Xenopus tropicalis: one gene and its partners. The protein of the gene in region 7 interacts with the protein of the main gene of each other region in a biochemical or structural test. Links are inferred from orthologs where the notes say so. Each region holds a gene or a part of one and is shown on either strand. Other genes may lie near its edges.

Evidence for each region.
Region 1: of the proteins of chek2 (region 7) and cdc25c, one has a biochemical effect on the other in vitro, tested with the Homo sapiens proteins (14 studies listed by BioGRID). The link is inferred for Xenopus tropicalis from reciprocal best matches to the Homo sapiens genes CHEK2 and CDC25C.
Region 2: of the proteins of chek2 (region 7) and ppp2ca, one has a biochemical effect on the other in vitro, tested with the Homo sapiens proteins (2 studies listed by BioGRID). The link is inferred for Xenopus tropicalis from reciprocal best matches to the Homo sapiens genes CHEK2 and PPP2CA.
Region 3: of the proteins of chek2 (region 7) and atr, one has a biochemical effect on the other in vitro, tested with the Homo sapiens proteins (2 studies listed by BioGRID). The link is inferred for Xenopus tropicalis from reciprocal best matches to the Homo sapiens genes CHEK2 and ATR.
Region 4: the proteins of chek2 (region 7) and ppp2r5a form a complex in vitro, tested with the Homo sapiens proteins (2 studies listed by BioGRID and IntAct, with this or other methods). The link is inferred for Xenopus tropicalis from reciprocal best matches to the Homo sapiens genes CHEK2 and PPP2R5A.
Region 5: of the proteins of chek2 (region 7) and cdc25a, one has a biochemical effect on the other in vitro, tested with the Homo sapiens proteins (5 studies listed by BioGRID, with this or other methods). The link is inferred for Xenopus tropicalis from reciprocal best matches to the Homo sapiens genes CHEK2 and CDC25A.
Region 6: of the proteins of chek2 (region 7) and ppm1d, one has a biochemical effect on the other in vitro, tested with the Homo sapiens proteins (2 studies listed by BioGRID, with this or other methods). The link is inferred for Xenopus tropicalis from reciprocal best matches to the Homo sapiens genes CHEK2 and PPM1D.

Annotation. Positions count from the first base shown.
Region 1 is NC_030679.2:47,993,207-47,996,706, forward strand, and holds part of cdc25c (M-phase inducer phosphatase 3), read right to left. Parts: intron 3,163-3,500; coding exon 3,007-3,162; intron 2,828-3,006; coding exon 2,729-2,827; intron 833-2,728; coding exon 653-832; intron 1-652. UniProt on the Homo sapiens protein: Functions as a dosage-dependent inducer in mitotic control. Tyrosine protein phosphatase required for progression of the cell cycle. When phosphorylated, highly effective in activating G2 cells into prophase.
Region 2 is NC_030679.2:26,550,958-26,554,457, reverse strand, and holds the end of ppp2ca (serine/threonine-protein phosphatase 2A catalytic subunit alpha isoform), read right to left. Parts: intron 3,012-3,500; coding exon 2,922-3,011; intron 2,555-2,921; coding exon 2,393-2,554; intron 2,268-2,392; coding exon 2,149-2,267; intron 1,121-2,148; coding exon 1,048-1,120; 3' UTR 310-1,047; downstream 1-309. UniProt on the Homo sapiens protein: Catalytic subunit of protein phosphatase 2A (PP2A), a serine/threonine phosphatase involved in the regulation of a wide variety of enzymes, signal transduction pathways, and cellular events.
Region 3 is NC_030681.2:119,636,567-119,640,066, reverse strand, and holds part of atr (serine/threonine-protein kinase ATR), read left to right. Parts: coding exon 1-62; intron 63-169; coding exon 170-262; intron 263-1,266; coding exon 1,267-1,397; intron 1,398-2,302; coding exon 2,303-2,446; intron 2,447-3,500. UniProt on the Homo sapiens protein: Serine/threonine protein kinase which activates checkpoint signaling upon genotoxic stresses such as ionizing radiation (IR), ultraviolet light (UV), or DNA replication stalling, thereby acting as a DNA damage sensor.
Region 4 is NC_030681.2:14,615,062-14,617,994, forward strand, and holds the end of ppp2r5a (serine/threonine-protein phosphatase 2A 56 kDa regulatory subunit alpha isoform), read right to left. Parts: intron 2,539-2,933; coding exon 2,437-2,538; intron 654-2,436; coding exon 518-653; 3' UTR 501-517; downstream 1-500. UniProt on the Homo sapiens protein: The B regulatory subunit might modulate substrate selectivity and catalytic activity, and might also direct the localization of the catalytic enzyme to a particular subcellular compartment.
Region 5 is NC_030682.2:12,723,567-12,727,066, reverse strand, and holds part of cdc25a (M-phase inducer phosphatase 1), read right to left. Parts: intron 3,472-3,500; coding exon 3,433-3,471; intron 2,920-3,432; coding exon 2,883-2,919; intron 2,624-2,882; coding exon 2,525-2,623; intron 2,053-2,524; coding exon 1,933-2,052; intron 832-1,932; coding exon 700-831; intron 593-699; coding exon 521-592; intron 426-520; coding exon 273-425; intron 170-272; coding exon 74-169; intron 1-73. UniProt on the Homo sapiens protein: Tyrosine protein phosphatase which functions as a dosage-dependent inducer of mitotic progression. Directly dephosphorylates CDK1 and stimulates its kinase activity. Also dephosphorylates CDK2 in complex with cyclin-E, in vitro.
Region 6 is NC_030678.2:92,934,717-92,938,868, forward strand, and holds the start of ppm1d (protein phosphatase 1D), read right to left. Parts: upstream 2,801-4,152; 5' UTR 2,463-2,800; coding exon 2,078-2,462; intron 1-2,077. UniProt on the Homo sapiens protein: Involved in the negative regulation of p53 expression. Required for the relief of p53-dependent checkpoint mediated cell cycle arrest.
Region 7 is NC_030677.2:150,455,127-150,458,626, forward strand, and holds part of chek2 (serine/threonine-protein kinase Chk2), read right to left. Parts: intron 2,594-3,500; 5' UTR 2,590-2,593; coding exon 2,358-2,589; intron 1,953-2,357; exon of another isoform or gene 1,833-1,952; intron 469-1,832; coding exon 344-468; intron 1-343. UniProt on the Homo sapiens protein: Serine/threonine-protein kinase which is required for checkpoint-mediated cell cycle arrest, activation of DNA repair and apoptosis in response to the presence of DNA double-strand breaks.

The DNA of each region.
Region 1 (3,500 bases), on a different chromosome or scaffold from region 7:
ACCCTGGGATGAATCCCATCCGGTCCTGGACCTTTGTTTACCTTTACATGTTCAAGTCTCTTTTGAATTTCCTCCCGAGTGACACATGTCTGGCTGCTTATCTTTGTGTAAGCTTTAAATGGTATCAGTACTGAGATTAACTGGTCCCTGCATTGCCCAGGCTGTAAGCCCTTGTATTGTGCTCAACTGTAAGTCCCTTATTTGTTCACACCTGTAAGACCTCAGGCTCAGACTGAAGGCTCCCACATTGTTCACACCTCAGACAGACTGTAGGAGGAGTGCTGGCATTGTCACTGTATGTAGTACAGTACAAACTCTGTTCATGTTGGAGTGGCCATGATCAGGTTACAGATTATAGGTTTCCCTGTCTCCTTCCCTACTCTGCCTGCCCTACGATGCCTGTGTGTACCATACTCTATGGTTTAAAAAATGTGAGTGGTCACAACTGGCTTCCATTATTTGCCCTCCACCACATAGGCCAGAAAAATTCCAGCCCCTGATACTACAATTGGACAACATTGCCATATTTATTGCAATCTAATATAGTGTAATAAAGTTAAAGAGCAAGAAAATGCCACTGGTATGCTTTGCACACCAGGTTTTCCCACCCTTTGCTATCTTATGTGTGCAAACACTTCAGAATATGACTTACCCTCCTCCTTGGTTGGCAGTTCTCTTCCTCAGGTTGAAGGGGGCTGCTGGTACTGCGTCTCCTTTTAATTCTGACAGGTGTTTCACTGTCTTGTGGCCTCACTGTGCGTTTAAGCATCGGCCTGTCAAGTTTCTCTGGCATAGATGGTGAGCGGTAAAGACGGCTTCTGTTTAAAGATATCTGTTTAAGAGTAAATTATTTTAGTGGTATTTAATCTGTGTAGATTACAGCTGAGAAATAAGATATATTTTTATGCTGATCACTTGACAGGGAGGCTGGGATGTTATTGTGTGTCATATGTCTAAAGGGGAATTTAACTGGAAAATAAATGGAAACCTAGTACACAACAGTTAAAACACACTGATGTAAAACTAAAAACAACTTCTAGCAACAGGACAACTAGGTGTGTTGGCACTCGAGGAAGGGTAAGTTTCTGTATGTGTTCTCCTACAGCAAAGATCTGGATCTAACTGCCCTTCTTTAGGACAGAAAACTATAAGAAGCCACAGAGTAAAGAAAAACATTGGGGAAAGATGGCAAAGGCCACCCAAGGAATGATTACTGCAAAACAAAGTTTTTGACAGTAGGCCATATGTTTATCAGGTTTGTATAGAAAGAGTATAGGGGAAATGCAGAATTTAGTGGATACTATCAAGTGCTGCTTACTAATTTGAACACAAGAAAGCAGAAAAACAGAGCACACCATAGAACTTGTTAAGCAGAGCAGGTTCACTTAATGTGTCAAATCATAAACATCTATTTGAAGTTGCTGAAGTATGTCAGGTGCTCAAACCAACAGTGGCTTGGGTTCACCAGGTTCCCGTTGCATTACCATAAAAAATAACAAGGTTCACTGCAGAGCAAAGCAAGTACAGGTATGGGATCCGTTATCCGGAAACCCAATATCCAGAAAGCTCCGGATTACGGAAAGCCTGTCTCCCATAGACTCCATTTTAATCAAATAATTTGGATTTTGAAAATGTATTTCCTTTTTCTCTGTAAAAATAAAAATGGTACCTTGTACTTAATCTCAACTAAATTATAATTAATCCTAACTGGATTCAAAGTAATTCTATTGGGCTTAATTAATATTTTATTGATTTTTTAGTAGACTTAAGGTATGAAGATCCAAATTACTGAAAGACCCCTTATCCGGAATACTCTTGGTCCCGAGCATTCTGGATAATGGGTCCTATACCTGTACTATGAATCTCTTCTGTTTGAAGAATGACCTGTGAGGTCTAAAACATGTAGTGCTATGCATCTCTAATTCAACTACACAGAAGTTGCACTTGCTTTGCTTTCCAGTGAACTTTGTATTTTTCACTTGGCCGATGTATATTGTGGAACAAAACGGATCAACACAGAGCGTTCAGTTCATTAAAAGGATGTGGAGTTTATACGTTTCACATCCTTAAGTCTAAACTTCAACTAATTCAGAAAAGGCAAGGTTACAGAATATTCCTGGGATGATTGTTTCGTAAAGGAAAATTAAATGGTGTAAATTTATTCAGAGTGGTCCTCTGAGCAATATTGCAATTTGAATTAATCTTCTACGAAATTATTTTCTGTACATTTTCTGTAAAGAGGAAAAAAAATGCATGAAGAACAAAAATTTCACACTGTAATATTCTTTACTAGGCAGTGTTAAAAAATGCTAATTTAATTGCACATTGTTGTCTACTTAATGGTGACATGCTACTTTGTTGCAAAAACAGTAACTACTTCAGCAGGAAGTTTTAAAACGTACACTGCACACAGGAGCAAATTATAAAACTCTCAATTTTTCCACTAGCAGAGGAGGTCACTAAATAGTTTCCATGTTCACAAAAACTATACTGAATTTGGGCAAAGAAATAGTTGTAAATCGTGCAGAATTAGTTAACCCTAGGGTTGCCAACAGTCAGTTGAGTCAAAAGCCTGGCATTAACAGGCTAAAAATGCTCAGACACTACTAAAAATAGAAAATGAGCTTAAAATTGCAGAATTGCTCAAAGAAGCACCTTGAGTAAGTGTATATCAATTAATTATATACATTTTTGGGTTTTAGATTTAGATTCCCTTTAAATTACTTACATTGTTTACATTGCTGACTTCTACTTCTTGATTTAAAAGAGGTCCTGACAGAAGAATTGCCATGCTAGAGGACAAGTTACCAACAGCTCCAGAGGGATTCTACATGCACAATGGAAACAATGTATTAGCAAAAACCAGGAATAGATCTTTATAAGATATATCCACTTTATTACTAAAACAAGCACGCAGGGTTTAAAGGTTGCTCCAGTAGCTCATTCAAAATATACGAGTGCATTCTACACACTGCAATTTGTTACTAGAAAGCCAAAAATACTAACCTCAATCTCCTCTTCATCAACTGAAAAAAAATCTGCAAATCCATCAAGATTTTGCATTTTGATGTCATCATGTGGTCCCTCCAAACAAGGGGCAGCTGCACTTATTGGGGAACCCAAGATATTCATCTCACAATCCTCGTCTAGGGAGATATCAACCTGCCAGGACACAACTATAAGCACTTTGTTCTTTCCCATGTGTTTGCTCTGACATGTTTGACACAGAAAGGCTAGAATTAGTTCTTGGATGCAGTAACATGACAGCACCCACTTAAGAATATAATATTACCAAATATTTACTTGACTTGGTTAAAATGGGTTTGTGTCAACTGATAAAGCTGAATAAACTAATAAAAAAAATCATCCTATAACAGTCCCAAGAAAATATAATACAACAACATCAGTAGTTAACTCATCTCAGGCTGAAAATCAGACACTATAAAATGGGATAGGCTGCAAAGTCTCAAAAACTTTGTACTTCATGTACATCAGTTATT
Region 2 (3,500 bases), on a different chromosome or scaffold from region 7:
GTCTTTCCATAATTTGGATCACCTTTATTCTGCCAAAAATCCTTTAAGCATTAACTAAACCCAATAGGATGGTTTTGCTTCCAATATGGATTCATGCAGCTCAGTTACCATCAAGTACAAGGTTCTGTTTTATTATTAGAGAAAAAGAAAATTATCTTTAAAAATTAGAATTGCTTTAATTGGACTCCATAACTGTATGTTTGTTAGTGATGAGGAAGACAGTCAAGTTATTAATACACTAACAACACATTCCTGCCCCATGATGTCAGCGAGAAAAAAAAAAAAAAAAAATTTGACAGTTCACATTTATAAGGACTTTGTTCACAAGTTTATTATGGGGGAAGGGAAAAAGAAAGGATACTGCTGCACTGTCCTGCAGCAAAGTCTTACAGAAGATCTGGTTCCGGTACAGATGTATTTGTTATTAACTACAGAAAATAAAACAGTCGCAGACTTGAAAATTGATGCGGAAGGGTGAAACGAAAAAAAAATAGTAAGCGCATATGAAATTTAAATTAAATTGTATTCCCTGAAAATAAACATATCTGAAGTCACAATAAAGGCAGCAGGGCCCTTGGTACGCATTGATTAAAAACGTCCATGTATCCCCTTCACACCAGAGAAGACAGCAGAATGCTGTTGCCTCCCCTGCAGCACAGAAGGGGTTAATCCGACTGTTTCTATCTTATCTATAATCATGCCAGGTAGAGCTATAGCTAACTGGAGTTATTGTATTCACGTGTTGTTAATGTTTTAGTTTTTGCAGTCTCTCCGAGAAAGCAAATGTACTACAAGTAGTGCTATGCCAGGAAACAGATTTTTTTTTTTTTCTCTTTGACAGACAATGCCACTTCAGCATGCAAGGACAGGGTCTCTAAGGTGGTCACGGGCTGTTGAAACAAGAGGCTTTTATGGCACATCTTTTGGTCCATCATTTAAGAGTACATAAGTGACAACGCTCCCCTGAATTTGAAGTTACTGCTGCTTTTCCGAGATCTCATGACAAAATCCTGCTGGTAGCAATACTGTACAAGAGTAAAATTCTGTTTACAGGAAGTAGTCGGGTGTGCGACGGGTCACATGTGGCTCTCCCCTGCGTGGTGCTGGGTCAAACTGCAAGCTGAAAAGTAATGTACAAATATAGGGTAAGAGCAGAAAGCAGCTAAACAGAAAAGAACAGAAAATGACAACAAAATTGTTCCAAAATGATTATGAGTAACACGAAGGATCTCTTACATTCTCCCAGGTCTCCCAAATTGCAATATGGAATCTACATTGTTAAAGGTTTCAACATTATACACCTTAAAATGCAATTCTCTGCCAGTGTCTACTGCGTTTCACTCATATCTGGGATAATCAACCTTGGGTATCATGCTCATCCAGGAACTCAGCATAGCATTTTTAGAAGCTACCGTCACAGCATCACTTGGGCAGGGTATTCTACCACTTTATAAAGACATAAAATACCAACTTGGCAATTTTTTTTTTTTAACTCTTTGAAGCAAAGTCATTTTCATTCTTTTGCATGCTTCATTGGCCTCCATGTACCCAATAAATGTTCCCCTGACCCAGCTAACTTGAATGCCATAAACACACCAAACCATAATGGTTTTGCTTTGCTATATCTGGGTGGCCAAGAATTATTTAGGAACACAGTTTTGATTGGCTGTTAGTTATCAATTGTATTTATGTATGTAACCTGCATGTTGATTGAATACACATACTTATTGTACATCACAACAGAATATGTTTACACTTAATCATAAATGTGGTATCATATAAGTTAAACAAGCATTGGTAAGCTCTACGGGGCACTGTGTTTCATACCACATGGCACTTTATATATTTACTGTATTTATTTATTATTTCACTTGTGCTCCCTGTGTGTAATTTTGTATTCTGTAAGATTGTACAGCGCTGCGTACCCTTGTGGCGCTTTATAAATAAAGTTATACATACATAGGTCAGTTGAGTTCTGTTTATCCATATGAAAATGCGCAACTATGTTATTTTTGTTCCTGATGAAACCAACCCTAGTATAACTATGCACATGCAATGTAGCAATCTGTCAGCTTCTCTCTATTTTATTATAATTATAATATTTTAGAGCTACATAACCACATAAGAAAAAATGGAATGGATACTTACAATGAATATTTTAGTGTGTCGTCAAGTTCCATTATTGCAGCTTGGTTGCCACAGCGGTAACAATAATTTGGAGCACTAAAAATGGTTACTACGTTCCGATCATGGCACCAATTGTATCCCTAATGAGATTGGAGAGAGAAATAGTTATGTTTAGAAACTAAAATGGATTTGAAATACAACTACTTCATAAACTAAAACAAAATTAAGTGCACATAAAACAGTGACTTTTTTTTGAACAACTTACTTCCATCACTAGCTGATGGGCTCTTGAAACCAAAGTAAGGCCATTAGCATGGTTGAATGTTTCAGATATATCCTGTCCAAATGTATAACCTGCACCTCGAGGTGATATGCCCCAGCCACCACGATCATCTGGGTCAGACCAAAGTAAGTCACACATTGGACCCTTAAAAGAAAAAAAATAAAATATTAGTAAAAATCAAATTCTCCTGACCCCCTTCATTTTTACCTCATGTAGGGCCAGGCCTACATTTCAACATTTCAGTATTTTTGTGTGTCAGGTTATGACTAATATGTGGAACTAGGTTTAGATAAAAAGATGGCTGAACACATCACAGGAGATCACACAGCAATTAAACTAATTTAACAAAACTTTTCAAGATGGAAGTAACGGTTACTAGTTGTGTACATTCAAGTGTACATCCCTCCTATGCCTAATGTCAGACATTAGGTCTTGCCAGTTAAAAACATAACATTTATACCATGACATTTTGATTTGTGTATATAATCTGTACCCTCTTTCAAACACTGACCTCATGTGGAACTTCTTGAAGGCGATCAAGGGCCCGTATATGATCAAGTGTATCTATTGAAGGAGACAGTCCTCCGTGCAAACAAAAGATCTGGATGGACACAAAGAAAAGCACCAATCATAACATTCCTATTAGTCAGTAATAGTATTAAAAACACAATTAACCAAGTGTTTAAATTACAACTTGAATATATATCGGTAAATATTGCCCTTTTACATCCTTTCCCTTGAGCCACCATTTAGTGATGGGCTGTGTGCCCCCTCAGATAATGCAGCTCTAACTGTAACAGGAAGTAGTGTGGGAGCAAAAGGCAGAACTTTGTTCATTAATTGGCTGATGTGGCCTAGCATGTACGTGTGCACCGTCAATCTTATGATCCCAGGGGGTGGCCCTTAACTCTTAAAATAGCTATTTCCTATTTAGGAGTACCCAATAGCACATACTACTAAAAAAGTATATTTTTATGAAAAAGGTTTATTTAGATGAAGCAGGGTTATATGAGCTGGTTTATGCAATATATTTTTAGAGAGACCTACATTGTTTGGGGGTATTGTTTTCCTTTAAGAGAATCCTTATTTC
Region 3 (3,500 bases), on a different chromosome or scaffold from region 7:
CATTCGCATCCAGTGATGATCCATATCAGGGACCTAGGACCATCACAAAGCAAGAAATAATGGTGAGTCTAAATGATCTCTTGCAAATGTAAACATTTTATATTTTGTATAACCAAATTGGTATGTTAAAATCACTCCTAATGATGGTTTATGTATTTCTTTTTAAAAGGCAGATTATTTGCAACCAAAGCTTTTAGGAATATTGGCTTTCTTCAATATGCACCTGCTGAGTTCCAGTATTGGCATTGAAGACAAAAAAATGGTAAGTAAATGAAGTTTTTTTTTTTTTTTTAACAGAATGAAACATTATATTTTATCAAAATAAAGCAGTCTAAAACTGTACAACTATAAAGATTTGCACTGCAATAGATTAAACCTATAAATCTCATGTTTTGGCACAATAATTCCATAAAGATGAATGTGCTGTTAGTGCCAATTTGAAAACCTCCCTGATATGGTCACCATCAGAAATAGAGAGTTTTATGTGGCAGAAGGATTCCCAAATGCCTCTTAGTAACAGACACATAAATTAGATTTGTACATAGTAACAAATGAGCCTCTCTGTCCTAGACATTTAGTTGGATTATTATCTCTGTATCTAGGCCATATTTCATTTGGCCAATTGGAAAGAGGACTCGGTAGAGGTAGATGAATATAGCTTAAGGAAATATAGTCATTTGGGTTTCTCAAGCTTCATAAAGGTAATAAAACTATGAGAAAAAGACTTCAGGACATAATATGTTCCCAAATGCTAAATCTAATCTTTAAACTAAAGGAAAGATTTCAACAGAAGGGAACATTGCATGCTGCGTTTTCATCTGATTGTCGAAAGATTACATAGCATGCAGCATTTTCATCCGATGACCCTTGTTTCTCACTGAATTGTCAGATGTGGATGGTTAAAGATATTACCATTCCACTTTATCTGATAAGAATTCACATTACGGCAAGAAGGACCACCTTTTGCACCATTCTTTGTACAGATGCTTTTGCTGTTTTGTGCAGTAGTATAAATAGTTTGTATATCTGACCAAATCTCCCAAGTCCTGCCTTAAGGCCTCAATAAATATTTCACTACCCAGTAGGATTGTTGGTAAACTTTATGGTCGCTCTATGTTAGAGAGAAGGGAAATCGGTAAAAAAATATCCGTTTCTAAATGTAACTATATACTTTTTTTTTATCTTTAATATTTATTGTTTTATAGCCACAAAATAAACATTTTACGTTACACAAAATGTAACTAAATACTTTTTTTTTTTCTGCAGGCCTTAAATAGTCTGGTATTTTTAATGAAACTGATGGGTCTAAAGCATATAAGTTCCGTTAGGGTTAAGATGATGACAACGTTAAGAACTGGCCTACGCTATAAAGAGGAATTTCCAGAACTCTGCTGCAGGTAATCTTATAAATGAATGTAAATTATCTTTAATATCGTTTCCTTGGACAATATTAATGACAATTTCCATTCTTCACAGCCAAAAGTACCAAGTTGCTCTGTAGACTAATAGTGAAAATCACAGCTCTAACAATTCAGTGAAGAATGATTCTAGGTTCTTTTACATTCTCTCCTTGCTTTAAAGGGGTGGTTCAGCTTTAAGTTAACTTTTAGTATGTTATAGAATATCCTATTCCTAGCAACTTTGCAATTGTTCATCATCGTTTTTTTTTATATGTATTTAATTATTTGCCTTCCCTTTCTGCCCCTGAGAGGCTATAAGTTTAATGTTATTGTAACTTTTTATTACTTATTTTCCTATCATCCTGTTCATATTCTAGTCTCTCATTTAAGTCACTGTCTGGTTGCTAGGGTTAATAAGACCCACTAAACTTTAAAATGTAGACCAGTTGCAAATTGTCGCAGATATCAATATCTACATAATATGAAAAGTTAATTTAAAGTCAAACTACCCTATAACTGTCTAACATACTATTAAGAATGGTTCTAGGCTTCTTTTGAAAGAAACCATTCTTAATTAGATGTCGGCTGTGATTTCCATTATTAGAAATATTATCCTTAAGCTTCAGTATAACAGTTCTTCTACTGGTCAGTTTTGAAGAAAAAAAGAATAGATCTTGCTTGACAAAACTGTTGTCTTAATAATTAAAGCATATATATATATATATATATATATATATATATATATATATATATATATATATATATATATATATATATATATATATATATATATATATATATATATATATATATATATATAGAGAGAGAGAGAGAGAGTATATATATATAAAGTATAATATGTATATTAAAAATATGTTTGTGTTTCTCCTGATATCATGTAGTGCATGGGACTTGTTTGTTCGCTGCTTGGATCCAGCGTATCTGGGCTCCCTCCTCAGTCATGTGATTGTTGCATTGCTGCCTCTGTTGCACATCCAGCCTAAAGAAACTGTTGCAGTGTTCCGCTATCTTATAGTTGAGAACAGGTATGGAAATAGTATTCTCAGTCAGTTTATATTTCATGATCTTCTTGAGCTTGAGTGTACACAAGGGGCATATTATTATAGTGTGTAAGCCAACATAACCAATCATGCTGCCCATAGCAACCAATTAGATCTTTGCTTTTGTTTTTTAGCTTGTGACCCTTCAAATCTAAATGCTGATTTGTTGCCATAGGCAACAACACCGGTGATGCAGGCTTACACATAATAATAAATGCCCCATGGACTCGACATGAGTTCTTTAAAAAAGTTACTAATACCAGAAATTAAACCTTTTTTTACATCTATCATAACATTGTGTTTGCATGCTATTTATAATTTTGCTATAAAAATATTTGCTCACTGCATTTCTGATCAGGTCCTATCTTATCTGATCGTCAGAAATGGGTATAGCCATTACCTTACTTTCCTAGGTGGCCACAGCCATGTGACTTTAGCTCTGATAAACTTCAGTTACACTTTACTGTTGCGCTGCAGAACAAAAGGAAGGTAGCAAATAGCAGCTACCTGACACTTCTGCAAGGATTCAGCTTCCTGAACTGGTGTGTCTCCATGGACTTTTAGTAAGTTGGTAAACAGCTAAAACTGCCTATATTGTCTCCCAATAATTTAGGGTGTTTTAGTCATTTCTCTGCCAACTAAAATACACTGTAAAAAAACTGCCCCATGTGCTATTGGCCTCAATTAGCTTGTATAGTAAAGGATCTATAAATATATACATACAGTGTGCACTTGCACTTGTAAATAATGGTACATTAACTTCTGTGCTGTGGAGGGCAGAAGTAGAAGGCACCCAGAATATATTAAATGCAGTGAGAAACAGAGGGCAGTGGCACCCAAAATACATTAAATACAGCGAGAAGCTTTAGTCCCCAATACACTAAATACAGTGAAAGACAGTGATTTCTAACAGTCACGACCCCCTTACCCTTACAAAATGCAGGTGTCCTGGGGGCTGGAGAGGATTCTAGCATTGTAGAGTTCAGAATAAGTCTGTAGTTGGGAATCTGATCAGCTATTATCCTGGCTTCTGCTTTAA
Region 4 (2,933 bases), on a different chromosome or scaffold from region 7:
ATAGAAACAGTAGTGCCAGGTGCCAATGTTTCGATAAGAACCTCCAAACGGAGAATTGCAACTGAGGAAAAAAAAATGTAAAACGCCAAAAAAATAAAAATAAAAAATGTACATAGCAGACTAACACACCTATGTGCAACACAATCAAAAAAAAAAAAAATATATAATATATATATATAATATTAAAGAATTCAAGTCATAATTCTTACCACTCCCGGAATTACTTTACTTATTTTACAGATTATAAAAATTAATTCTTCTCCCCAGCAATCAATGACTGGACATAGAAAAAAATTGTTGGGAAAAAAATATAACACGGGGTTTATAAAGCGGCTATGGGAAAGGCCTGTGTAACCTATTGCCCTGCAATGCTCGCTACCGGCCCCCCCAACAGCCAGTCCCTCCAACGAGTCGGCTTTATGTGATACTGAGAAGGTTGCTTGCTTTCTGTACATTAGCGGCAAAGCCATGTTTAAAAGTATTTGCCTGCGGAGCAGAGGTTGTTGTCATGTTGTTTTTATTTGGCACTTGCATTGTTCTGTATGTTCTGCACACACAGAGCCGGGTTCTGCTTGTCAGCCAGAGTTTTCTTTAGCAGCAGGTCATCCAGCCTCCTCCACAGTTCTTCTCTTTCTAGTTCTTTTTTTTTCTCTCTGGGAAAAAAAGACAAAAACAACGTTGCAATTAGTCGCTTGACTTGCGAGTCTGGGGAGGCAGCAAAGTGAAAGCAAAGACGTCTGTATGTTTATTTACAAGCACTTATACAGTTTAGTCCTCACTGTATTAAAGGGGTTGTTCAACTTTAGGTTAACGTAATAGAATAGCATATTCTCAGCAACTTTTCAATTGGTCTTCATTTGTTATACTTTTATTTGCCTTCTTCTTCTGACTTTTCCAGCTTTCAAATGGGGGTCACTGACCCAGACAGCCAAAAAACTATTGCTCTGTGAGGCTACAATTTTATGGCCGTTGTTGCTTTTTATTACTTATACTTCTATGCATGGCCTCCTCTATTGATATTCCAGTTTCTTTTTCAAATCACTGCCTGGTTGCTAGGTTAAATTAGACCCTAGCAACCAGATAGCTTCTGAAATTTCAAACGGGAGAGCTGCTGAACAAAAAGCGCAAATAATAAACTACAAAGACCAATTGCAAACTGACACAGAATAGCACTCTCTACATTATACTAAGGGCTGTGACAGACGGGGAGATTAGTCGAAATCGGCGTAGTTTCTTCTTAAGGCCGCATATGCCATCCCACCGGCGATTTACATTGTAGTCGGTGGGATGGCATTTCGGGGAGATTAGTAGCCCGCGACAAGGGAGATTTGTCTCGCGGCGACTAATCTCCCCGTCTGTCCCAGCCCTACAGCTTAAGCACATTTTAATAGCTAAACCTATCCATCCTGGCCTGGCCCCTGCCCTAAAACCTGCCCCTGTTTCTATGGGTAATCACGCTGGGCATTGTTGTTGCCCAGGGAATTAGAAGCTCCATGGGCGGGAGATGGAATGCCCGGCATTGCTCCCCCTTATCTGAACAACATTCGTGAGTGCCCTTGAGTGTGAGACGATTGATGCTCAGAAATGCTGACTGCTGCAAGAAATAGAAGCACAAAAACCAAAGTAAATTCTAATTTTTTTTTTTTTAAAGATGAATAACCTTCCTCAAACAATGTAACAAAAACAAAAGTCATGATTTTTATGGGGTTCTTTTTATTTCTAAATTACGCTGTTTACATAGCAAATAATTCCCTCTGCCATTTAACATTTTACTCTTGAACCTACAAATGTGTTTTCCCATGACAGTATTCCTTTAAACTTCCACTTGCTTTTCAGTTAACAGCAAATTGAATCATCTGATTGCCAGGCCCGGACTGGCAATCTGTGGGTTCTGGCAAATGCCAAAGGGGCTGCTGTAAGATGCCATAGACAGTCACTATTTATTGGGCCCATGGGGGGCTGTTTGGGCCTCTGTGTACTGGAAATGCCAGGGTCTATTTTGAATCCCACTCTAGGCCTCCCCCAATCAGAGGAATAGAGCATAGCATTATATAATGCCTTGATAAAGCGCATATGATTTGCCAATATATACAATAGGTTATGCAGTAGTAGACTCAAGTAGACTCAAACAACAAGCAAACCAACTCCATGTGGGATATAAAGCACATTTGTGCTGCACTGTATTTCTCTCCTGGGGTCTGTGAATTGCATAGCAACCAATCAATCAGTAGTTAGGGGTTTTTTTGGGGGGGGGGGCTGTGATGGGCTACTGGACACAGGAAAACCTTGCTATTATTTGTGCACAACCGTAAAAGAAAAACATATGAAGACATTTCCAATTTGGACAGTGTGAAAATGCAAATTTCTGGCCAAACAGAGAAATGCAAACTTTACCACTGACCAAACACGCTGAGACGATAAACAGTGTTTGCATACCTTTGTCGCTCTGCTTTGTACGAGCCTGTAAGTTCATCAAAGAGTTTTCCGTTCATTTCCATTAAGGTTTTCAGTACGTTGTAAACCAGAGCTACGATGGTTCTAAATAAAGAAAGGGATGTTCAAACCGAATCCATGTAAAACTACAAAAACACATTATACAAACCTAAATTTGCCCTATTCAAATGCACCTCACAACATTTGCACCGAGCACTGGTCTCCGTATACACAATGCAAACCAAACCCACATCACTAAGAAAACAAAAAAAAGTGTGCAGCTGTCATTTGAATGTGGGGCTACGTGAAAGCTGGTGTGTAGCCATTACAGAAATGATCTAGTATAAATAAATTTAAAGCAACTGGACTTGTTTGGTAATCACTGAAGATGTTTACATTGCTACCAAACAAGTCCAGTTGCTTTAAATTTATTTATACTAGATATAGCATGACCTGGATGAATGAAAATCTTCATAGACACATTACAGAAATTGTGGCTT
Region 5 (3,500 bases), on a different chromosome or scaffold from region 7:
TGAACAGTCCATAACTGCAATTAATTTCAAATTGGACACAACGTAACATCACATGGGGGAAAACATAAAATACCTTTGAAAAGTCCCCAATGAGACTGACTTGATCGTTGTCCAGCATACTTTCTATGTTCTGACTGGAAAGGGACTTTGATCGCATTAATCTTGAGTTCTATAAAACAAAAAGGAGGGAGAAGGGGGAAATGTTATTCTCAAACTTAAAGGGAAGGGGTAGAAAAACCCCAACAGCATGTTTGGTAGAGCCGAGAACTCACTTTGTCATGATCCAGCTCTTCCTTTGCAATTTCAGACACGCTCCTTCGCCTTTTGCTCTTTTCTGGCGCGTCTTCGTCCGGCGTTCGCTCCACTCGTTTCAGTGCTGGTTTTGTAGTGCAGTTTGGCTCAGAGGCAGGTCGGACCTCAAGACACTGAGGGGGATACAGAAGTGAGGAGTAGGATGAAGGAGATATGTGGCAGGAACCAGACTGGCAAAGAGTGTAAATCATACGACTGGAACACTTACATTTTCAGTGCTTTTCATGACAAGGGGAGCCGTCCATAGGCTTGCAACACCACAGGGAAACTCTGTATCGTTCTACAAACAGAAAAGAACATCTTAATATCCATGGCATGCTTTATAATAGCACCCACCTTGGGATCCAGATTTATTCATGTACATCGGTAAAAACAGCAACAGCTTACCTCTAGGTCCTCTCCGTCCAACATATCCAAGAAGCCATCATCACTTCCCTCAGTGGAAGTGGAAGCAGCTGAGGATTTTCTGACAAAGACCATATCAGAAGCTGCAACTTCACTTTTCCTAGGAGAGGACAGCTAAACAAACAAAGAAATTGATTTAGTGTAAAGGTTAAATAAAAATTAGCAAAAAGCAGGGCAGAGGGAATAGAAAAAAAAAAAAAAAGTAGGGTGTCGGGCAGTTTATGTACATGTGGTGCAAGAGATTGTAGTTTTCCTGTGTCCTGAGCAATACCTGTAGCAATCCTACTGCTCATGCTACCTCTATAAATGGAGCAGGCCGGACAGGCAATCTGTAGATTTTGGTAAATGAGAGCTGCTGTAAGATGCCATAGATACAGTGGTTTATCAGTAAGTGAAGCAGATCCCACAGTCGCGGGAGGCATGAACCGGAGTCGGCTTCCTCTATAGCACCGAAAGATTGTGCACCCACATCTGCCTGCATCAGGGGTGGGCAGGCTTCAGTATGTGCCAGGCCCCGCCAAAGATTTATTTTGGGCAGGGGAGTCCAGCAAGGTATTGTCACACCACTGCATAGACCAGGGGTCCCCAACCTTTCTTACTCGTGAGCCAGTCAAATGTAAAAAGACAGAGCAACACAAGCAGCATAAAAGTTCATGGAGGTGCCAAGATTGGCTATTAGGGGCCTCTATGCACACTATCAGCTTACAGGGGCTTGTTGGGGGATCACTGGCATAGACAGTGACTATGTTTTGGCCTTCTGGGGGGCTGTTTGGGTATGTGTACTTGAAATTCCAGAGCCTATTTTGCATCTCAGGCCAGACATGCTGGTATGGGTGATCACTTTAAAAAAAGCTGGAAGAAAAAGGACAGCCTCACAGTCCGATTACTGCAGGGAAAAGGGGGGGGAAGGAAAGCTCAGTTGGAGGGGGTGGGTAGAAACAAATGCAAACAGAGGTGGGGGAGGCAAATAGAATATGTAAAGGGTGGGATGAGAGGAAAAATAGGAGGGTGGAAAATAAATGTGAAATAGGAAACAGATTTAAAATAAGCAAAAAGACAGGGAAAATGGGAAAGGAGTAGCACAAGATTAACAGGAATAGAAGATCAGAAGTAGAAGGGAGAGAAGAAAGAAATGTGGAGATAAAAAACTGAGAAGAAAACACATCTGGAAAAAGGATAAGTGGGCTATGGAAGCACAAGAGATTAGACACATACCATACACGCAGGTGCAGATTTCTGTCTCTGAACGAGACTTTCCTTTCCATCCCCATGGAGTCTTGAGCGGAAACAGCCCCGGGAACGCGGTCTCGCTGGGATTTTAAACTGAAACTTTTCCTGCAAATGAAACCCACAGTGATTGTGTCACATTATTGTGGTGATTTAAGGAGCCCCCACTATTAACCTTACCTCGTATCAACCGACTTTATTTTGTTATTGATTTGTAAGCACAAAAATGACAAAACTAAAACACTGCATTTGCTGCAGCTAATCTAAATCAGACAAATTCAACTTGCAGTCCTCCTGCTAGGCCACAACTACCATGGGCCAGTGTATGGGCCCTTGTGGCACATAGTTCAAGATGCTACTGTGCCATTTACTACCTGCTTTGCAGCCTTTTAACACCTTAGCAGGCAGGGCAGGGTTTAATAGCAGTTGATTGATATCCAATGCTATATAAGAGCTTTAGAAATGATTCTATGTCCATTTAAATTTGCCAAATTGTTATTACACGGATCTGGGAATAATATTTAAATGTCTCAAATGCATTTTCTTTTCCTGAATGACTTGATAATAAACTAGTACTTACATTCTCCTTGTTCTCCAGGTCAGCTGCGTGGAACACTTCACATTCTAGAGAGTAAGAGAGATTCCTCTTAAAGGCAGGGCTGGATCCCAGTAGGTTTTGCTGAATGGAAAAAAGGAAGGGGGTTAAAGTACTGGTATGTTACCAGCTGCAATGTCCCCCTTACACACCGACTGTGCCATCACTGCTGTGGGACAAAAACAACTCATTCAGCAGCCGAAAAGGAATGAGCAGCTACAGTACAAGGTCAGTGTGTACAGCACTACTAACACTGGTATGTTACACAATTAATGCTACTGATGTCAACCATATCAATGTTTAGATGGTACCAGTATATGAGATAGTTTAATATAAAACTCACCGGCAGGGAGTTCCTCCTTTTGATTGGTAACCTTGTGCTAGAAAGACAAAAACACCATTTTGATATGTGAAAAGATCAATGGAGGATGAGCAAGAAAATCTCTACATTGTCAGAACTATGACACTTTTGGTGCAAGTTGTAAACTCCTAGTTATCTACAACCTCGGCATGTTCTGTTTGTGACCCCACTGGGGCAGGAATGGAGTGCGTCACTTAAGCAGGTCTTTTCACGGCATTCTACTCCCTTGCTCAGACAAAGCAGCATGCATACTGGCCTAGGGACACTGGCTGCCTGTGTAAGCTAGATTAGCCTGTAAGTGGGCAGACATTTGGTGGGCAGCCTGAGACAGTGGTCCCTCGGCTTCCTCAGGTTTGTGAATGATTACACAGAACTTACAGGAAAGGGGAAAGAAGTGGGTGGGGTCAGCAGCCAAAGAAAGGATACTCTTCCTGCAGCCATTTGTATTTCTACAGAAATTCTCTTTAAATTCAGCTTAGTTTAACCAGGGTACCATGATTCCCACTACTGTATCTTTAACAAACATACTTACTGTCCAAGCCTGTCAGAATTCTGAGTCGATTTCTGAAACCTAAGAGGGAGAATAAAGTGCATTTTAAA
Region 6 (4,152 bases), on a different chromosome or scaffold from region 7:
AACAGACAAACTTTTTTCCCTAAAAGAGGTGGACAACCTAAAAAAACTTGTGTTTAAAAGTGCACAGTTAGAGAGCCCATAAAAAGAAAAATCTGTGTTATCTATAGCACTTTGTACACTGATCCCATTAATTTCAATGGATTTCATCAAGGCCAGAGTGGTGTAACACAAAAGTATAGAAACAGAAGTTATCTTGGTGTACTTGCTTTTATAACTAGGGGAATAGGAGGTTAGGGTAATTGCATATTAGGTTTATATCAGCACTTTACAAACAGTTCAATTATTAGCTACTACTTTTACAATTTATTTTAAACTTATTAAACAGACTTTTGTAAATGGACCCCTTAATGCAAAAAGATTTTGTCTCAAAGTCTAACACTGAATATAAACGCCAGCCTTTATATTAAATATTTACAGGCAGGGGATGCTTCAATGCACAGCTGTAACAAAAACATTCCTTACAATTGCCTATAAACTTGGCATAGTGGATACTTGGGTGAGTAGTTCACATTTAGGCTAATACCACATTTTCGTTGTTTTTCTGCTAGCATGTATATACGCCAATTGAGAAAAGTGGATCTGCTGAATTCTGTCCCCTCTATATGTGCGCTGACAGGCTATTCAGCTATTCTCTGCTGGTGTATATACAAAATGGCCCTTGTGCCATTAGCCTTAAGTTTTCTTTTAGTACATTACAGAATGTCCTATCCTTAGTAGCTCTTCAGTTGTTATACTAGTTTTTATTCTGTACAGTTTCTGAATTATTTGCCTTTTTCTGTCACTTTCCAGCTTTCAAATAACCATTATTGCTCTATAAGGCATTATTGTTACTTTGAGATTCTTACAGTTTTATTCAGATCCTCCCCATGTCTCTAGTTTCTCATTCAAATGGCTAATTTGTTGCTAAGGTATATTGGACAGTAGTAACCAGATAACTACTGAAATGACAAACTTGAGAGTTGCTGAACAAAAAGGTACTTTAAAAAGCAAACAAATAAAAACTGGTCTCAATATCAATAGCTACATCAAACAATTAAAAGGTGAACTACCACATTAACAACAAAGTACACGTGATTAAGTTGCTACATTTAACAATGCTACTAAATATCTGTGAGACCATAACATAGTGTAGAAACTCAAAAATAGAAACATATAAAAGTTCAGACTGTACTAAAAATTACATGCTGTTAAATATAGAAACGCCTTATGCAAACAAGCCCCTATGGTGTCACTCAAAATTCATTCCTGTCTAATTTCCACTCCCATTACCTAACATTTTTAATATGCAGCAACAACTAGTCTGACCCACCTGAAAGGTAACTCATGTAATAAATACAGTTTTACAGTCAATGGACCAATTGTTTCTACTCACATTAAATATATGAATGTATGAATATGTTATCACCTGACATTAAATGGGTTAAAAAATGGTGTTACATTAAATTATATTTAACGTTGTTGCATTTAGAACACCTACGTTTCACCACATGGAACGACTACCTTATGGCCACATCTTCTCATTTATTATTTTTAAAGGGGGCTTTAATACCCAAAAATAAAATGTCCTCATTAAAGAAAAATGAATTCTTAACTTTCCAATATAACGCAATTACAGTTTTTAAACACTTTTAAGATTATTTGTATAGTAATTTCTGTTGAACCCTTGTATGCCTGCCTTGCTGGTTCTGACTTTTAAAGCAATGTAGCAGAAGCAAACAGCTTACAGACCAGTCAAGCAAAATGCAATGCTGACTTCTGCTACATTTTCTCAGGAGACAGAATCAGCAGAAAACCACTGATAAAGACTGCTTTCAATGAAAATATATTTTAAAGCATTATATTTTGATGATTGTATGTTTTGCTTAGAATTATGTGTTTACCCAACCCATGTTCTATAGGACATAGATATTTTTTAGGGGTGTCCCCGACCGACAGAGCTCTCTGCTGTTGAGCTACCAGTCGCAGCAATTCCAGGCAGCGGGTTTGATTCCACAACAGCAGCGAGGGACCGGCAGGTTGCTAAGAGTCGCCTCCTATGTGCAACCAGGGGGGGTAGAGACCGAGACATGACACTTACGGAGCTTTTTCCACATTGCATGGTGACAAGCCACGAATCCCTTGCGGATGGCGGCGCACACTTCCTCTGGATCTCGGGACATGAAGCCTTTTTGTTTAGTGATATAACCCCAAAGGTGGTCCCGAGCAAAGTGAGCTGCTTCCCGACCCCCATGCCCATCATAAACAGCAAAGAAGGCAACAGTCTGCCTGCCCCCAGTAGGACTACTCGAACGCTCCCTCCTGCAGTTTCTACCCGGTGTCCCCGCTCCTTCCTCTTCCTCTGACCAAGGTTGATCGTCCTCCCCCGGCTCCGGTTCCACTAGTATCTGAGTTACATCTTCCATATACTTCCTTCCTCCCTGGTCCGACGAGAAGCTAACCCGAAGGGTGAATGGAGTCTCCATCGCACCCCTTCTTTGTTACAAGTCGGAAGGTTGGACCGGAGAATTCCAAAAAGTGATCAGTCCACCTTAACAAAATCTCTTTTTAGAAAACAAACGGCTTAGTGGGGGTCAACAAGAAATCGATTAATTAAGCTCAGCGCTTCAAAATCCGCCAACCGCGCTTCTGATTGTTTATTTTCAACACTGTCCGGGAGCCGACGATACGCCTTCTACGTCACAGCATCAAAGTAGAGCACCCAGGCGGACCGGCCAGTGTAAGCTTCCTACAATTCCTGTGAGCATGCGCACTAAGTCAGCACTGAAGGAAGCCCGCGTCGCCATCGTAAAGGCGGGCAACAGCTGTTGTTTATGATAGCTGCTCTACTTCCGGAAATATAAGGGCGGAGGGGCCGTACGGACGTCCGAAATGTTCTAGAATATACTGTATGGCCAACATGAGTCTCCATTTTTGATTTGGGCAATCCCAACGCGAAAGGATTGCGTAAGCTCCGCGCGCGATTCTGCTCTTTTTGAACAGCGAGAGTATCTTAGTTTCTGCATCCCACTAACAGCACAACTATACATTGCATAACGTGTGTGCTAATAATTCCTTTTAATAACTTGTTTATTTTTAGAGCTGATAAGTTTTGGCTAGGGTTGCATGTTGCCCATAAAGCTTACCTCCCAACATTTTGAAAACGGAAAGAAGGACAAAAATAAATGCTGCGCGCTGCACATCGATTTTTTTTTTGACCACGCAAATTTTTGCAGCCACTTAGATTTAATTACATTTGTCAGGTTACTTAACGTTTGAACACATTTCTGGGGGTTTTAGGGTCCTGTTTTATGTGTTATTATAGTTTTGCTGAAAAAGATGAAATTGTATGTATGTATATGTATGTATGTCTTTATTTATAAAGCGCTACTTATGTACGCAGCGCTGTACAGTAGAATACATTAATACAAACAGGGTGTTAATAAGATAATAGATAAATACAAAGTATAATAATAAATACAGATAAATACAGCAGCAATAAGTTAAGAGTCGAGGACACAAGAGGATGGAGGTCCCTGCCCCGTAGAGCTTACAATCTATATGGGAGGGGTAACTAACAGACACAAATAGGCAAATATAAGTGCTCTTTAAGCCAGTGGTTCTCAACTTTTCCTAATGCCATGACAATTGAATACAGTTCCTCATGTTATGGTGACCGCCAACCATAGAGGAGCGGTGTCTCGGTTCCTAAGACCATTGGAAATATATGTTTTCCCGACGGTCTTAGGAGATCCCTGTGAAAGTGTTGTTCGACACCCAAAAGGGGTTCCGACCCACAGGTTGAGAACTGCTGCTTTAAAGCAGAAGGAAAGGCTAAGTCACTTGGGGGTGCCAAAATGTTAGGCACCCCCAAGTGGCTTAGATCGCTCACCTGGTGCCCCTGTACGGAGAGAACAGCACCAGCCCGGGGTAGCAGCGAGCGCTTCCTCTTTCATGTAGCGCCGCGCGCGCATGCGCAGTAGAGTGAAAAGCCGAACTTAAAAAACAAAGCCGGCTTTTTACTCTACTACGCATGCGCCAGCCGACGGATTTCGCCGAGAGGAAGGAGGAAGCGCTTCCTACAGGTACCCTGGGCTGGTGCTTTTTTCTCCTAACAGGGGCACCAGCCCAGGGTACAAGGTAAGCGATCTAAGTCACTTGGGGGTGCTTAACATT
Region 7 (3,500 bases):
TTAAACACTTTCTTGTTAACAACAGGCAGCAACATGAACAAAAGCTATCAACCCCTCTAAAGAGAAAAGCTGGTTTATTTGTGTCAGTTTCGGATCACAAAAACCAAAAGATTGAAAACAGGGAAAGCCACTTCAGCCCCTGCAAGCAGAAAAATGCCACATGTTCGATTAGCTTTGGCTTTTAATCTAGTCACAGGACTTTTTTTCTACTGCTTTGGCAAGCTAGATAATTACAGCTATTTATCAGAATAACAAAGGTTTTAAATATATGTAGACCTTGCTATGTTAAATGTAGAAAAAACGAAGACTAATGCATGAGGAAAAGTGAGAAAGATATACTTACCCGAAATATTCTGAAGTGTCGCTTGCTGTATGTTTTGTACCTCTCCGTCTGGTTTATTACTGGAATATCGAAGGTGTAATCACATTTTTTATCTCTTCCAAATACATATTCTTCAAGCAGGCAATCTTTTGAAAAAATAAAAGTGCCGTTAGGTTACACATAAACAGCAGCATAAGCTAATCAAAATAAACAGTTTTTTAGCTAAGCTTTCTTATCTCAATCACTTGGTTCATATCAGCAGATGGATTACAGAGGAGAACTTTCCAAACATAGCTGCTGCCTGTCACTGTGTTTCAAGGAAACTACCTATTAACACTGGTAGAGGCAGTTTACAGCCCAAATATGCCAAGTGCATTTTCTGATAATTGCCCGTGCAGGAGATGACAATCAGTTTCCATTAAAGGAGATGGAAAGGCTAATAAAGAGTTAATCTCAAGCTGCAGGCATACCTTCAGTTTTCTCAATAGTGCCCTTAAGTCTCCCCATATTTCTCCCATTCAGATGATCAGAAGCCTCATAGGACAAAAAAAAACCCGCTGAACTGTGTAAACAAAGTTCTCATAATGCCTCGCTCCTACACCAAAACCAATGTACATGCTCAGTTTGTAAGACTATGAGGAAGCTTCCTGCTGATTGGTTTAGATCACACATTCCTAAGTGGGGGGGGGGGGGGGGGGGGGGAGTCACAGGCAGTCTGTTCCTGCTCTACTCTCTCCTCTCCCCCCCCTGGCAGCAGCACAAGCAGAGAGACACAGAAGGAGGGAATGGTTTTCCCTGCTGCTGTTGAGTAAAGCCTATCAGTCAGTGCTGTGACCACTTCCTGTGGGAGACTGAAGCGACACTCCCATGTTTTATTTCACTCTGGCTTCTAACTGGAGAGGTTGTATATGCAGCTCTCATACAATTCTTTCAAAACATCTTTCTTTCTGCATTATTTCACATTTTGAGGGAGGATGAATATTATAACTGAATATGAACTTTATATAAAATTTCTCCTTTAAGAGATTTTAGACTTTGAGAGGTAATGGGCTAGTTACAAAACTGATTTAGGTATTACAGGTATAAGACCCGTTATCCAGAACAGGACCAATGGAATTCCAGATAAGGGGTCTTTCCGTAATTTGGATCTCCATACCTTAAGTCTACTGAAGAATCAATAAAACATTAATTAAACCCAATAGGATTGTTTTACATCCAATAAGGGTCATTTATATCTTAGTTGAGAACAATTACAAGGTAATGTTTTATTACTACAGAAAAAAAGGAAATCAGTTTTAAAATTCTGAATTATTTGATTAAAATGGAGTCTATGGGAGACGGTCTTTCCATAATTTGGAGCTTTCTGGATAATGGTTTTCCGGATAAGGGATCCTATTCCTGTATGTACGAACATTCTATGTAGAAATTTACCTTTTTTTGTTTCAAAGCCATACTCCCATACCACTGTAAGAAGCAGATAACACCAAACTAAAATATGTATTTTTATTACCTTTTTAGTACAGGAGCTCTCCATTTTGGCACGTACACTGCTGTCTGGCTGCTACAGTCACTGACACCAGAAACTGGGCAGTGATTTGAATGACAGACTGGAAGATGAACAGTACAAGGCCTAAACAGGACAAAAAATAAAAATACAAATCAGTGTGTTTCCATTTACTAGAAACACTGACCCTAGCAGCCAGACAGCAGTTCACATAAAAGGCCGAAGAGAAAAATAGACAGGCAACCTAGAGCTTATTTTACATCTGTCTTCAAGAAAAGACATTTTCAGGTTAACAGTTCCTGCACTAATAGCCACAGATGAAAGGCTAATTTTAATTTATACAATTTGTTTCACAAATGTGAAGAAATAATACATAAAGCCATAGACTGCAATAGTGAATACATTTCCCCATACTGTATAAAACCCATCGACATATAAATTGAAACAAACCTTTGTTGCAAAAGTGTTTTGTCATACTGGTATAAGGGACAAAATATTTCTGGGATATTTCCAAGAAAAAAAAGTATGTACCATGATTTAAAAAGCCCCTTCCAAGGGCCCAGAGACGACCCCAAGGCTGGGGAATATCCTCATCTATCTCAGGGTCTTTAGGAATGGACGCAAGATCTTGCACTGGAACAGTTTCCAAAGAACTTAATGTACCCGATGAAGACGACTGACTGTAGGATTGAGGGGCACTGGAGGAAGAACTTGAGGTGCCCTGAGATTGTTGAGACTCTGTTTTAGTATCACGGGACATCATTTACCTAAGTAAAATAATGAATATTGGTAGCTTATTCTTTAATGTCACTGTATAGGTGATTTCCCTCTACAAAAGCTTGCCAAACATTTTTATAAAATTCACAATGCATCAATAGGCCCAATCATAGAACTATTGTAAACCACTGGCTGCTATCTTTTCCACACTTGGTAAGGAAATCAAGGCTACACTCCCAATTAATGATGAACTAAGGCCTCGCAGGCTATCTGGTGTTTTTAGAGTATTCTAGTTTGAGTCAGTGGAGTGCAGATTGAACCCTAAATGACTGCAGCCTCAAATGTTCTACACAGCATATACCAAATAAGCCTTAATATGCAGCAATCCATCACAAGGTGAGGGCAGTGAGGTTGTGGAATGCCCTTCCTAGAGATGTGGTAATGGCAGATTCTGTTAATGCCTTTAAGAGGGGCCTGGATGAGTTCTTGAACAATCAGAATATCCAAGGCTATTGTGATACTAATATCTACAGTTAGTATTAGTGGTTGTATATATAGTTTATGTATGTGAGTGTATAGATTGGTAGGCGTGGGTTGTGTGTGCTGGGTTTACTTGGATGGGTTGAACTTGATGGACTCTGGTCTTTTTTCAACCCTATGTAACTATGTAGCAACTAGCCTATCAGGGTGTTTACAACAGAATGTTATTACATGTGACTGAGATCTACAAAGTTGCATCCAACCTGATGCAAGTTTACATGGGCCCAAATGGACAACATCCCAATTGTAAGTTCTTCCTATCAATGTTTAATGAAATATATTGGCACAGGTTGTTCTGCCTTAAAGGTCATGTATAAAATCAAATTCACAAAGCCTATAAATGGCAGTGTATTGTCTGATGTCAGAATACACTCAAAGAAGCATACAAATAATTTTAAAAGTAAGTGTCAACACAAA